Linked DNA regions of Elephas maximus indicus. The protein of the gene in region 2 purifies or fractionates together with the protein of the main gene of each other region. This does not show direct contact. Links are inferred from orthologs where the notes say so. Each region holds a gene or a part of one and is shown on either strand. Other genes may lie near its edges.

Region 1 (7,529 bases), on a different chromosome or scaffold from region 2:
AGTGGGCACCAGAAGTGGCACCTGAAGTGGGCAGGTGCCCTCACTGGTACCTGAACAGGGCTTTTTCTGCCCCAAGGATCTGCACTGTGGATGCTGGATACTTGGCCAGGTTGGTGAGGCTGCCAGCATGTGCAATGAGACGTGCACCTACCTGGAGAAAGACACAAAGAAGTCAGAAGCTGAAACTGCTGACCTAAGAATTACATAATCCCTGCTTACCTCCTCCCCATCATGCACAACTAGGGAAGATATGGCAAGTCAGAAAATACAGCAGCGCAGACTTACATGGTAACATTCCCGAGCCCCCCATGACATACCGCTTCCCCAATGAGAGCTGACAAGCTGGGGGCTACTTGGCTCATCTTGGAGCGCAGGTAAGTATGTAAGCTCTGGCGGTATTCTGATAGAGACACCACTCGGCTGGAGAAGCTCTCGATGTTTATCAAGTCGATGGCAGATATGTCCATGCCTAGAGAACACCAAATGTGAATGCAGGAACCAGACATTCAAAGCCCCACACGTTACACCTGGCTGCCAGGCTCTGCACTGACCCATGGAAGACCGTGAGGCATCTAGAATGGCCTTGGCCTTGGCCCCGTCCATAGTCAGTTCCTCCAGCTTCTCCAACTTGTCTTCGTTCAGCTCTTTGCGGTTTCCAATGAATTGGGCAAGGCGGCAGTACGTGGCATTGTCATTGACAATCTTCACCAGCTCCGGAAAGTGATAGCCATACCACTCCCTGCAAGGAGCCACAGTCACTCCCTAGACCAGCTACCACATCTCCCCTTATCTACTACATGTCTGGAAAAAATGGGACCAGTCAGATTTAAAGCCTCCTCAATGCCATGTTGCCCCATTCACAATACAAACCAGGCACAAGGCCTGGGCTGAGGTGTATATGGGGTACTTTATCTGCCTCCCCTTTCTATACAGTCAGTGCAAAAACACAGCCTGTGGTAAGCACAAGGAGGCCAAACCCCTTCCCCACCTGGTTCTTCCCAGACCTGATCTAAGGATTCAAAATTAGCTAAACTACAGGCCAAAGACCCCACTTTCTGGGACTGCCCCTGTACTTTACCTGACACGCATAGAGAAGGTATTGATGTCTTTATCCAGCTGGTCCAGAAGGCTAATGGACTGAATGATCATATTGTCCACCCGGTTCACATTAAACTTAACTTTGGCACGAGAGTAGCTGTGTCCCAGACCAAGCTGAGCTTTACAAGCAGACAGGTCAGTCAGACCCTTCACCAGATTATGGAAGTGCAGGCGAATTCCTGGAGAAGGGTAGGGCTATGAGCATGGAAAGGGCCTGAGCTAGCTCCGCACCCATCAGGCAAGCAAGGCCTCCAGAAGTAATCTTAAGCACCTTCAGGACGCCACCCCCCTCCCCCGCCGGCCAAGTTTGTCAAGAATGGCATAAGTGCCACAGATGTTCTCACCTCGCAGGATCTCAGCTATCACACCTCCAGTCTGGCAGTTGTACCCTAACTCCTCCTGTATAGCAGCACCAATCTTGGGGTCCCCAACTCCCAAGACTACTTTCTTTTTTTTGGATGGCAGGTATGTCTCCAAGAACAGGCGAAGATCCTCATGAACAACACCTCCAGGTAAAAAAACACCGCTTACTAACATGCTTTAGGACATTTAAAGTATAGAAGGGATCCTGTCTTGTTACAGAGCTGATTAAGTGATAGCGGATCTTAAACTGGTTCTGCAGAGCATGCTGGGATGCCATGCCTAGGCACCCTCCCCCTTCAGGCATTGCTCAGAGACATGGAGACATCAGTGACTGCACTCAGGGGATTGACAGACACAAGTCATCACTGCAAAGCCTGGCTCAACTAGGGGAGGAACAGGGCTCAGGTCCAACAGCACCAGTTTGGAATATACAAATAAAGCTTAAAACACAAGCTCCAGCATGATAAAAGCAGCAAGTATCTTATTTGTCTCCTGGGACCACAACTGTTTCAGAACAGTCTTCTTGGCTTACATGTATTCAACTACATGAATGATGCAGCAGGGAACCCTTCAGGTGACTGGGTTTAGGCAAGCTTCGGGCACAAATGGGCTTTAAACCGGGGTCCCCCACCCACCCAAGATTTCATTTAAGAATTATTTACCACCCCAATGCTCGTAAGAAAACAAAATCTCGATTCTAGAGATAGCTTTAAATATGACAGCATTTCGTTTTTTTTTATCACAAATCCCCCAAGAGAACTGCAGCAGGAATCACATATCCTATCTCCCCTAAAACTTCGGGGTGGCCAATTCACCTTCGGACACGGCGTTGGCATTTTCCAAGGCAACGTGGGAGGAGGCGAAGGGACAAAAGGCCACGAGACGAACGATGTTGTGGAACTTGCCCAGATTGAGCACGCACTCCTCCACCTGGGGTGGGAGAAACAGGATGAGCGGTTTCCTTCCGACACTCTTTGACTATTTTGACTCTAAACCGCAGTGAAGCCGAGGTTCTCAGGCTTGGACACATCCAAGAACCACCTAGAAAGCTTTTAAAACACAGGGATGCCTGGGCTCCATCTCTCAAGGTTCTGCTTTAGTCCGTAATGGAAAAGAAATGGCTTATCTAAAAAAGCTCCTAAAGTTATTCTTGTCATGAACCAAGGCGAGGACCCTGGCTCTACAGCTCTCCAGGCCCGTTCCCCACCCCCACTCCACACAGCCGACCACGTGGGAACGCGCGGTGCATGCTGGGGCCTGCGCTGGGGACTCGCCCGACCGCGCTGCAGCCCCTCCGGCTGCCGAACTCACCGGTTCCACTCACCTGCGGCAGCAGCAAGCTGATCTCCTCCACCTCCTTTACCGCCAACAGCGCGTAGCCGACCGCGTGCTCAAACAGCACGTGCAGCAGCACCTGGAACGGAAGCCGGGGCTCGAGCATCAGCGCGGGCCCAGCGTTCGCCGGGCCCCCGATCCCAAGGCAGACACCGGCTGGGCCTAGGTCCGCGCCAAAGCCTGGGCCCAGGCCACGGCCTTCGCCTCGCCCGCAACCCACAACCAGCCCTCACCATGGCGCTCGCTCCTTGCCCGGCTCGCAATGCGGCGAGCGGGCTCCAGCGCGCGGAACCTGGCCCCGGAGGCCACGCCCTCGCCGAGTCAGCCAATCAGAGGCCGAGGACGGCACCATTTCGGGTCCTCCGGAGGGGTGCATCTGGGATGGTATCGCCTAGAGGGCGAGGGCGGCGTGTGGGGAGAGTGGCGCCAAGGGGTAGCCGGCCTTTTCCGGCCTTGCTGCAGCGGGCTGGTGCGGTTGCCGGGGCTGAGCGGGGTGAGGCCGGGCGCTGCAGGCCGCAAAAGCGCTTTTTTCTGGATAACAGTCCAGGTTCTTCATGTTTTGATCATATAAGTTACAGGCAGCAGAGCTCTGTGAAATAGGTGTGGGCTGCACTGCATGGGGCGTGGCGACCATCCCTACAGAAACGGTGGCGGAGCCCGCTCTGGGCTCCACGGGTGGTCTTGGATCCCATACCCCTCCTTCCACGTCCCGCAGGGCTCTCCGTACCCGCCTGCCCTTCAGGGGCGACTCTCCCTCCCCCAGCCCGCCCCCCAAGCCCCGCAGGCCGCGCACCTTTTCCTCCTTCCCGGGACTGGAACCGGGTTTGGGGCCAGCCGGCGTAGACCCTGCAAGAAACGTGCCTCTTGGGGTTTTTTTTTTTTTTTATGTTTAAAAAGCAATTGTAAACTTATTATTGTTGCTTTTAATGAGGGTGGCAGTAAAGTAGAAAAGACCATACCACTTGTTGCTGGGACGGTTTCCTGCTCCCCAGCTCCTTTTGCAGAGCCACGTGTTGCTCGCCCGCGTGGACGGTCCTAGATTCTTCACATCCGAGTGAGGCGAGCTGCTTTCCCGTACTCCAGGGAGGCTTTTGGGCACGCAGAAGTCTGTTTTGAAATTACTCTGGCTTTAATAGTTAATTTTAGAGTTATAAATCGTCCCGTAAGTAGCAAGTTTCCTGGTGAATTTAAATAATAATTTCAAGGGAACTTAATAATTTGAAGTTCCCACAATTAGACTGCATTTATAAATATAAGACATTTATTTTCTTCTTAAGCGATTAAGTTACTTGACAAACAGAACCCATGAAACTTAAAAATATGGGCAGTGATTTTTAAAACTTCATAATCTCAATATTGCTTTTGAAATGTTTGCATTCTGTGTGTTTACCAATTTATCACGAGTCTGAATTAGTTTATTTCACATTTTAGAATGGAGTTGCAAAAATGGATTATTACATAATCCGGTATGTTAAATTCTCTTAAGCCGTATAAAAAAAATGTATAAAATAGATACTTAAAATAGCAAATTAAATAGATGATTCCAAAATGTAGTGGAGAATATTAATGCAGTGACTTTAATTTAGTGTATTACTTCTATACTTCATCCAAAATCTTCCTGGAGTTTCAGGTGTTTCTTTACTGGGGCTGAGATTTTCAAACCAGAAGTCAGAGTCCATTAATGGATTGCAGAATTAATTTACTCAGTCATGGCCAGCATTAAAAAAAAAAAAAAAAAAGATTAAAGAGAATAGAGTAAGGGATAGTGATTTGGAAAACTTTTGTCTCAGCAGTCATACAAATGTATATATGTGTATATGTATGTATGTGTATACACTTACATACATACAAAGGAGTCCCTGGGTGGTGCAAAGTTTTCAAATATACCCAGAGTGCCTCGGAAGAAAGGCCTGGTGATCTGCTTTTGAAAGATCACAGTAAGTTCTACTCTGAAACACCTGGGGTTGCCATGACAACTGGTATATTCTGGTACATATACATATATATATATATGCACACATTTCTGTGTATTAGGTCAGGATATAAAAAACTAGAGAGTCACCCACTGGGCTCAAAGTTAATTAGTCATATTTGGGTTAGATTCACATCCTCTTGCTGTGAAGTAGCTGTGCTGAAATAGTTTGCTGATGACTGTAGAAAAGTGCACTTCAACTAGTATGTTACGAATGCTAACAATTAAATGTGATTATGGCCTAAATGCCACAAATATTCCTTTGGCTTCCTCTCTCCCATTGCCCTCCCCCGTGCTTCCTAACCCTGCCCCAGATGGCGTCTCCACACCCTGTGACGTTACAGACCACCTGTCCCCTCCCCGCAGACTGCTCACTGAGCCCACCGCTCCTTGCCTGCTTCAGGTCTTCACCACCAAAGTGTACTTTCGCAAAACCTTTGGTTTCCCCTTCTCCTAGCCGTCTTCCTCTCCATTGCCAGAATGATCTTTCCAGACAGAACATCCAGTCATGTTGTGTTTGTGAGTGCTCACAGTGGCAGGAAGAAATGGAAATGTTAAGGGCCTTGGTATCATGGAATCACCTATGGTAGCTAGTTTCCAAAGAAGGCCGCTAGTGGTCTGTGCCTCCTCGTATCATGGCCTTGTTAGTCCCCTGCTCTTCCGCACGTTTGACTGGGCTGGTTCTGTGACTTACCCTAAGTGTTCTAAACCAAGCTTTAACCAGAATATGATTCTCTGCCAGCTCTAGGCTTCAGCCTTTTGCATTATTGAGAGCCTTGAGTTGCTTTGGAAGTTCAGCTACTCTGCTGGAGAGACCACATGGAGAGGGGCAGAGGTCTACCTTTCCCAGTGTCCAAGCTGAGCCCATCCTTACAGCCATCTAATATACGTTAAAGTACAAGACCTGCAAGTGAAGCCATTTGGGATGTTCCAGTCCCTCCTGCCATCTATCTGACTGCAGCCCCATGTTGTTGTTGTTGTTAGGTGCTGTTGAGTTGGTTCCAGCTCTTAGCAACCCTACGCACAACAGAGCAAAACACTGCCCAGTCCTGCATTGTCTTCACAGTCGTTGCTATGCTTGAGCCCATTGTTGCAGCCACTGTGTCAATCCATCTTGTTGAGAGTCTTCCTCTTTTTCACTGACCCTCTAACAAGCATGATGTGCTTCTCCAGGGACTGATACCTTCTGATAACATGTCCAAAGTGCATGATACGTAGCCTTGCCATCCCTTCTAAGAAGCATTCTGGTTGTACTTCTTCCAAGACAGATCTGTTTGTTCTTTTTGCAGTCCATGGTATATTCAATATTCTTCACCAACACCACAATTTAAAAGTGTCAATTCTTCTGTCTTCCTTATTCATTGTCCAGCTTTCCATGCATATGAGGTGATTGAAAACACCATGGCTTGGGTCAGGCACACTTTAGTCCTCAAGGCGACATCTTTGCTTTTCAATACTTTAAAGAGGTCTTTTGCAGCCAGTTTGCCCAATGCAATGCGTCTTTTGATTTCTTGACCACTGCTTCCATGGCTGTTGATTGTGGATCCAAGTAAAATGAAATCCTTGGCAACTTCAAACTTTTCTCCATTTGACATGATGTTACTTTATTTGTCCAGTTGTGAAGATTTTTGTTTTCTTTATGTTGAGGTGTAATCCATACTGTAGGCTGTAGTCTTTCATCTTCATCAGTAAGTGCTTCAAGTCCTCTTCTCTTTCAGCAGGCAAGGTTGTCATCTGCATATTGCAGGTGGCTAATGAGTCTCTAATCCTGATGCCATGTTCTTCATATAACCTGGTTTCTCAGATTATTTGCTCAGCATACAGATTGAAAAGGTATGATGAAAGGGCACAACCCTGACGCACACCTCTCCTGATTTTAAACCACTCAGTATCCTCTTGTTCTGTTGGAATGACTACCTCTTGGTCTATGCACGGGTTCTGCATGAGCACAATTAAGTGCTCTGGAATTCCCATTCTTCGCAATGTCATCCATAATTTGTTATGATCCACACAGTTGAATGCCTTTGCATAGTCAATAAAATACAGGTAAGCATCTTTCTGGTATTGTCTGCTTTCAGCCAAGATCCATCTGACATCAGCAGTGATAACCCTCGTTCCACATCCTCTTCTGAATCTCACTGGAATTTCTGGCAGTTCCCTATTAAGGTACTGCTGCATTTTTGAATTATCTTCAGCAAAATTTTATTTGCATGTGATATTAATGGTATCGTTTGATAATTTCCACATTCTGTTGGATCACCTTTCTTTGAAATGGGTACAAATATGGATCTCTTCCAGTTCGTTGGCCAGGTAGCTGTCTTCCAAATTTCTTGGCATAGATGAGTCGGCACCTTCAGCGCTCCATCTGTTTGTTGAAACATCTAAATTGGTATTCCATCAATTCCTGGAGCCTTGTTTTATGCCAGTGTTTTCAGTGCAGCTTGGACTTCTTCCTTCAGTACCATTGATTCTTGATCATATGCTACCTCCTGAAATGGTGGAATGTCAACCAATTCTTTTTGGTACAGTGACTGTGTATTCCTTCCATCTTCTTATGATGCTTCCTGTGTCATTCATTATTTTGGCCATAGAATCCTTCAGTATTTCAACTCGAGGCTTGAATTTTTTTCTTCAGTTCTTTCAGCTTGAGAAATGCCAAGTGTGTTCTTCCTTTTTGGTTTTCTAACTCCAGGTCTTTGTACATTTCATAATATTACTTTATTTTGTCTTCTCGAGCCACCCTTTGAAATCATCTGTTCAG
Region 2 (7,104 bases):
TTTGGCAACCAGTTACCACGTGCACTGGCTCTGAGGTCAGAGTTGGATCTTATCAGTCTTCACTGACAATCAGACTGTTCACATATTTTCCTCATACCTCGCCAGTGCACACGCAAGACAAAGGGCATTCGTTTCACTCACCTGATTTATTTAACACAAGTACTAGTCTTTTCTGTCCACCTTGGACAATGGCCTCTTCTACCTGGGGACACCTGCAACCAAGCGGGTCTCTGGCATCCAACACCTCTAGCACAACATCTGAGGCCTCAATCACCTGTCAAGGCAGAAACACATCACTTCTCCTGCTCCAGGAACACCCTTAACAGAAACGTGTTGGCATTATCCACTTTGTAGCATGGTGAGCTCAGAGTTGGATCTCATGTCTTCACTTGGGTATGAAGAATGTTTATATGTCATCATTTCTCACACAAGAAAATACATAGGCTTGCTCAGGGTCCTCATCGAAATGAATTTCAAAAGTGGAAAATACTCCTAACTGAATGTACAATCTTCCCATAGTGAATGATGTAGTCTGATAAGCCCTAGAAGTGTTGAGGAGCATAGTCACCAGGGTCTGTCCACCTATGGGGGGGCGGGGGGCTGTGGTTAGGGATGGGAGTGCTGAGGAGCTACTACACCTAAAAGACACTTCTGACTTCAGTTGACTTCCTTCACTTGGGTTTCAGCAAAGCACTTTCAAGAGTCTTATTTTCACACTATTTTTGTGTACTTTCTTCAATCTTTAAACTGCTGTGTCAACACATTAACGTGAAACACTATTTTTATAAACTATATTTATGGTGAACTGCTCCCCATGCACCTGTGCAAAAATTTATAACCAAGGAAGAATATTTCCTTTAACTAAACCTAACAGGAAAGGCCCTAAATGGGATAAGCCAGCCTGAAGGATTCTTCAGCTCAAGGGAGCTCTACTTCCACTTTTACAAGGTTGATGCCAGGGTTAGGAAAGAGGAGCGACTAGTCTCTTAAACTCATTACTGTTTTTAGACACAGACCTAAACTAAAATACCTTTTTAAGTTCCTGACAATATGATTTCTTTGGACTCTGTTTGCCCAACTTGGCTTTGTTCTTTGCTTTGCCTTGCCCAAGTTCCTAAAAAATAAAGACAAGGGGGAAAAGACATCAAATTAGAAGTACAGCAGTTGTAACCTGTGTTTGCATTTCCCATGGCTGGTAATAGGCCCTGCATTTGATAGTATAGGTAGGTATGCCAGAATCTGAACTCACCCCCGCTCCCCGCCATGAGGCATAGCACCCCCACCCCATGTACGTGCTTTTGCTTCTCCATCAGAACGCTACCTCTCGCTCACAAGACCTGGTCATACCTCCTTTACAGGTTCCCCACTAGATGGCTCAACAGCAGGCTGAGTTTCAAGTTTTCTTTTCTTTTCCTGTTCCTTCTGTCTGTCAAGTTTCTGCTGCTGTTTTAGTTCTTCAAGCTGTGTCCAATTCATAAGAGAAATGGGTGAGGCAAAGTGACTTGGTGTTGTTACCTTACTTTGAAAAAAGTACATATACCCACACTATTTCTTCAAAGCTTCAATAAACACCTTACCCGCTGTTTTCTTAGCTCAGCTTCCCGAAGAAGAGCCTCCTTAAAGGGAGCACTGTTTGGAACTCCTGGATCTTTCCTAGGCTTCTTGCGACCCCGTTTTTTGGCTTCCTTTCTCAATTTTCGATGGTGCTCCCGTACCTATTATATTGAATATATAGAGTTTACAAAAATACTTTCCCGCTCAAACAAAATTCATGTGAGAAACCCATCTAGCTACAGTTTAGTGACCCCTATAAAATGACATAGAAAAAGGGAGCTTTAATTAGAATCATACAAAATGCATATATAAACCCATTATGTCAAGTCGAAAGCGACTCTACAGGACAGAACGCAACTGCCCACAGGGCTTCCGAGGCTGTTGACAGAAGCAGACGGCCACATCTCTCTGCCGAAAAGGTGCTGGTGCCTTTGAGCTGTGGATCTTTTGCGTTTGACCACTGCACCACCAGAGATCGTTAGAACATGCATACCAAAGTATAAAGGGGCAGCAAGAGGAGTGGGGGGGGGGGCACTGACAAAAAGCCACCACCAGGCTCTATTTCTCCACCTCTTTACAAAGATTATTGAAAGGTGAAGTTTACAGACTTGATTACCCAATAAATGCATCTTTCTACAGCCCTGCTCCTGCTGCCTAAGAGCTTATTCTCCAACCCCCATCTCCTAAGTCTCAATCATGTTAACCCAGACTTCCCGCCGAGATGAGAGATCCGCAGAAAGCAGTTCAATGATATAGCTCCCCCAAGCACAATACCCACCTTTTTTTGGATTTTATACCGCTTATGGCAGGTCATGCGTTTACTTGCTTTCTTCAACTCTATAAAGAAACATCGCAAAAGGGTTGAAAACCAATGATTTGTCTGCATAGTTTTTTTGGTAACTGCGCTATAGGTCTAACTCTTCTTGTGCTAAGACCCACGTGGGGTCCTTAAGAAAAGCATATATCATTCAAATAATTTGATGCAATAGGTATGGACTGGGGCCCAAGTTCCCCGTTAATGTCTTCCCAAGTTAGACTGGGATCTCACACCAGAGCAGGAGACTCAAAATAGCCATTTCGCATCAAACACCACCTATCACAAGGCAGGAGGGCAGCGATACGTTTGGAGGGTGGCTCTCAGCTCTCCCACAGGGCCGCTCTGCACGTGGCCGCGGATGCGAAAAAGCTGGACCTAAAAGTTGGCTCAGACAGTATTGCCTCACGAGACTTTCGCCCTCGGAGCCAGCCTGCCTTCTGCACCAGGAGCCCGCGGATCCGCAGTATCGACGTGAGGCCTTCCAACCCTCGGTTCTACGCAGGTCCCGGCCTACCCGTACGCCACCGCAGACCAAGCCGCTGCAGAAGAGCGCCCAGGCAGCTTCAGAGACCACCAGAGACAGGAATTACTCCAACCCCGCCCGCCCTCCGCCTCCACTCACTCGGCCGCTTCATACTGGCGGCGGGGACGACAATGGCAGCAGCGACAACAACCTCTCTCCGCCGCCGCCACGTGCGAACTGAGGCCTGGCCCAAACGTCACGTATTCACGCTGCCGCCGTAAAGCGCGCCGCCGCCGCCCCGCGTGCGCGCGCATGCACTGTCGCGCAGAGCCGGGCTCGCTTGGCGACCGCGGAGCTGGCTTTGCGGCGGCACCGGGAGGGGTGAGGGCGGCGAGGGCGGCGGGTGCTGGAGCGACGGCAGCGGCCGCGGCCGGAGGAGCAATAGCAGCAGCCGTGGCGGCCACGGGGCGGGGCGCGGCGGTCGGCGGCCGGGGCTGCAGGCGGCGGAGCGGCGGGGTAAGGCCGGGCTCGGGTCGGGCGGGGCCGCTTCCCCTCGGCCGGCTGCCGGGCCTTTGTGTGGGCCCGGGCGGGCGGGAGCAGCGGCGGAGGCCCCGCCCCGGCCGTGGGGACGCGCCGGTCGGGCCGGGCGCGCGGGGCGGGGCGCGGCGGGGCTTGGGGACCGGCCCCGCGGCTTGGCCGCACCTGCCGGCCGGGACAAAGGCGCGCCGCGGCCCGGGTACTGCCCGCGCCCTTCTTTCCCGCCCCGGGGCTGGCCGAGCGCTGGCCGCGGGATAGCTCCAAGCTGTCAACGTTTCCCTAGTCCCTCGTACCAGTGACAGGTCGGCAAAGTCCCCATTTCCTCCGCCGGCCAGGCCCGCTTTTTTTTTTTTTTTGGATGATTCGGACACTAACGCTCAATGATTTTGTTTGTTTGTTTTCACACGCTTTCCAGATGACCGTGTTCAGACCGAGTGTTTTTGTCAATGGGATTTGTATTTATAGTAGAGGCCAGATAATTGTCTCGTCTGCAATATCACAAAAAATCGGGCTTTTGGAACTGTGTACATTCCAGGCTTTTAATATTTTTCCATCTCTTAAAATGTTCTACTGAAAGAGAAGGGTAATTTTGTTACTATGTGGACTATGTTTGTGATTTAAAAGGAGAGAAAGGGTGGCAGAAATACAGAAGGAATCCTGAAAAGCAAATCACAGATACACAGTATTGTATTTACAAGTTCTTATTGTAGTTATAGAAACAGGCGTTGGCGTAAAACTTTAACTTATTTTCCGACAAACTAGGGCTTCTCAAAAATTATTTTAGGTAATTTTTTCCACTTACTGGTGCACTTTTCCACAAATATAATTCAGAAGCAAATACGATTCACTACAAATTTAAGAGTAGTGTTATTTTTGCCTTATTACTTGTTAACAGATTGCAGGTATTTTAAGATCCAAAACCGAAGATTGGAAAGTTTTTTTTCAAGAAGGTATTTCGGATTAAAACAGTAACAAATACGTGTTGTGGATGGATGGAAGGGGCTTAGCCACTTTGGCTTTGGGAGTTACAAAATACTTCAAATGTTCATAATTTACCAAAATCCCCAAGGTTAGTAAATTGTGGTATATCTGTTTGATAGATTGTTGTCAAACCATCAAACATCCTGGAGAAGAATGTTGACTTGGAAGAATTTTCTCTAAGTTAAAGCACAGGCAGCAAAATAATATGTACAGTTTATCACTTTTGTTTAAAAAAATTACATAACGGCCAACAAAGGCATAGAATAAAACAAAAAGCTCTGAACACCAACGTTAAGGATGATTTACTCTGGGAAGTAGGATTATGGGTGGTTTTTTGTTTCCTTTGAGCTTTTTGTTTTAAGTTTGTATCTACGTGCTGAGTAGCACTAGAAATACAGGAGAGTACCAAGAAGTTTATAGATTGTCAAAATACACCGTTTGCCTGTACTGAGTAAGTAGTCTCCCAGTTTGTACTTTGTAAAGTTATTCCTGTTTACTGTCCACTGTAAATTAATCGTTGGTTGTCAGGTTTGTGGAATTAAAGCCATCTTAAAACTTGGAATTGAGCTCCAGAATCTCTTTCTTTCCTCTTCATGGAAAAAGAATTGGTTATGGAATGCTCACAGGCCTTTTAAACTGCCAAAGTAAACTTTTTTTTTCCAAGGTCCCTCTTAAGGGCACTTGTAATAAAAAAGATAAATTGAGCACCAAATACTATTCTGTAGGCCGGGGCCACAAAAAAGAATATGACAGTTTCTGTGCCAAGGCACCATGCAATCTTAGAGTTGAAACTTAACATTTTTGTTGTGTTTTGAACATACATAGTATCATTTCCCTGTCACAGTAATCCAAGGAAGAACTGCATGCCTTACTGTTCTCATTTTAGAGGTGAGGAAACAGACCTGAGAGGTTGTGACCCAGCCAACGTCAAACATAATTTGAGGCGGAAGACCTTCAGCTCCAATCCAGGTCTTCTGAGTGCAGGTCCTGTTGCTCCTCCCACCTCACCCCACTGCCTTTCTTGTCAAACTCTCAAAATACATTTTAAAATGTGATCTTTGGGTAAGAAAATATTTGGAACTTATTCTTAAGTTGCGTCTTTTTCTTGTTTTATTAAATAAATTAATGATTGGAGGATTTTTGATTCTTGCATGATATGTATTCACACACTCCAGTCATTTATGTTTTTTGGTTTTCACTGGACTATTTATAGAATTTTGAACTTCTGCCAAAATGGTTGAAGGCATTTTTTGTTTAACCTTGGTAAAACCGTAGATGGTGTCTCTCAAATGCTGATAGGACTTGTAGAAAGAAATGTTGCCATATTTTGAATTTTTGAGGGGGAAGGAGTTTTCCAGACCCTTTGCTCACATGGAGCATTCTCAGTTTGTTCCAGCTTGCCAAAACTCTGTGTCACATGCAAGTCTCTGATACGTGTTCACAGTCCATTGCGGCTCTGTGATTGAACTCTGCTCTTCTTGACTAGGGAGCAGTTAGGAAGGCACACTTCAGTCGGGACTTGACAGTTGTTCCGTGTGAGCGAAGGGGCATGCGACCGACCGCTTGTTCCATGGGAGGCACCTTTAGTAGATGAAAAGCATTTGGCTTAAAATAGAAGAGAGGGCAGGTACTGTTAGAGCCTAAGCCTTTGCAGCAGTTTAGTAGGTGCGAGAGAACCGATACACCTGTTTTCTCCAGCTCAGTTCTCTTTCTCTAGCAGTTCTATTTGAATGTTTTCTATCTACTCGTACTCATTTTTACTCCTTCTGACCCTTCCTTTGTATTTCCCCTTTCTCTGCCTTGTTCTTCTCTTTCAGTTTTGAATATACTAACATTGAATCAGCACTTCTAAAGCCCTGCCTTCTCCCACTGGCTGCACTTGGCCTTCAGACATAATGAGGAGACTGGCTTTTCGAGGCGCTGGTTGTGCTCTGGTAAAGCTGGTAAATCACTGATCATCTACACTCTCTCCCTTTTCTGTTCTCCTTGCCTTTCAACTTCCACCTTTAATTTTTGTTATCCTTTCCATAAAAATTCCCTCCTCGTGTTCATCACATTCCACCTGTGCCCTTGTTAACAAAGGGCTGGTTTTTAGTTTCGTTGTCTTAATGAGTTGAAAAGCCAGTTCGCCAGCCTTTATAAAACAAACACAAATCAATAAAACTTGGCTGCCCTTGGTCTAAGTCCTCTGAAGATTTTAGTCAGTTTTAGCAAACTGAAAACTACTATGCTGTGTAACAAACCAAAGCCGAGAAGATGGCAGCATCATCAGGGTAGATTATTTTTAAACACCCTGTGAACTTGAATTCCGAGGAGGAGATAGGAGTCTCCTCTTGTTTCTTAGTTGCTTAGCAAAATTTTTGCATGTTTTGCACCTGCTTTCAGCTCCCAGGAGATCCCCACCTCAAAGTTAGATCCCCCACCTCTTCTGCCCATACTGCTGGCAACCAGTGCTCTACTGTTCCCATTCTTTTGGCTGCTGGTGTCTTAGGGAAGTTGAATGTCAATTGGATCTGAGTTTTTTCTCTTTGCTTTAGAAAAAGATCCTTGAAATCACAATATACTGTTAGGTCCTGTTGTTAAATTATAAACACTGTGGGACTTTTCTTGGGTATATAAGCATACCCTTCCCCTCTGTCTGTAGCAGATGATTTGACTTGTGGTTGCATTTCTTGTGTCATAGCCAAATGCATACACTTGTAAAGTTGCCTTAAGGCTAGTTACTCAGCAGCCAGCCCCAAAGTGAGAGCAC

The links.
Region 1: the proteins of GNL3 (region 2) and NOP56 purify together in Homo sapiens (affinity purification with mass spectrometry; 4 studies listed by BioGRID and IntAct, with this or other methods). This does not show direct contact. The link is inferred for Elephas maximus indicus from reciprocal best matches to the Homo sapiens genes GNL3 and NOP56.

The regions. Positions count from the first base shown.
Region 1 is NC_064843.1:41,254,508-41,262,036, reverse strand, and holds the start of NOP56 (nucleolar protein 56), read right to left. Parts: upstream 3,106-7,529; 5' UTR 3,033-3,105; coding exon 3,030-3,032; intron 2,876-3,029; coding exon 2,786-2,875; intron 2,392-2,785; coding exon 2,277-2,391; intron 1,833-2,276; exon of another isoform or gene 1,765-1,832; intron 1,605-1,764; coding exon 1,443-1,604; intron 1,278-1,442; coding exon 1,079-1,277; intron 974-1,078; exon of another isoform or gene 844-973; intron 740-843; coding exon 552-739; intron 470-551; coding exon 318-469; intron 152-317; coding exon 51-151; intron 1-50. UniProt on the Homo sapiens protein: Involved in the early to middle stages of 60S ribosomal subunit biogenesis. Required for the biogenesis of box C/D snoRNAs such U3, U8 and U14 snoRNAs. Part of the small subunit (SSU) processome, first precursor of the small eukaryotic ribosomal subunit.
Region 2 is NC_064838.1:56,889,602-56,896,705, reverse strand, and holds the start of GNL3 (guanine nucleotide-binding protein-like 3), read right to left. Parts: upstream 3,104-7,104; 5' UTR 3,007-3,103; coding exon 2,994-3,006; intron 2,392-2,993; coding exon 2,333-2,391; intron 1,716-2,332; coding exon 1,578-1,715; intron 1,462-1,577; coding exon 1,348-1,461; intron 1,115-1,347; coding exon 1,031-1,114; intron 426-1,030; exon of another isoform or gene 352-425; intron 275-351; coding exon 142-274; intron 101-141; exon of another isoform or gene 27-100; intron 1-26. Other genes in the region: PBRM1 (protein polybromo-1), read left to right, coding at 3,147-3,350. UniProt on the Homo sapiens protein: May be required to maintain the proliferative capacity of stem cells. Stabilizes MDM2 by preventing its ubiquitination, and hence proteasomal degradation.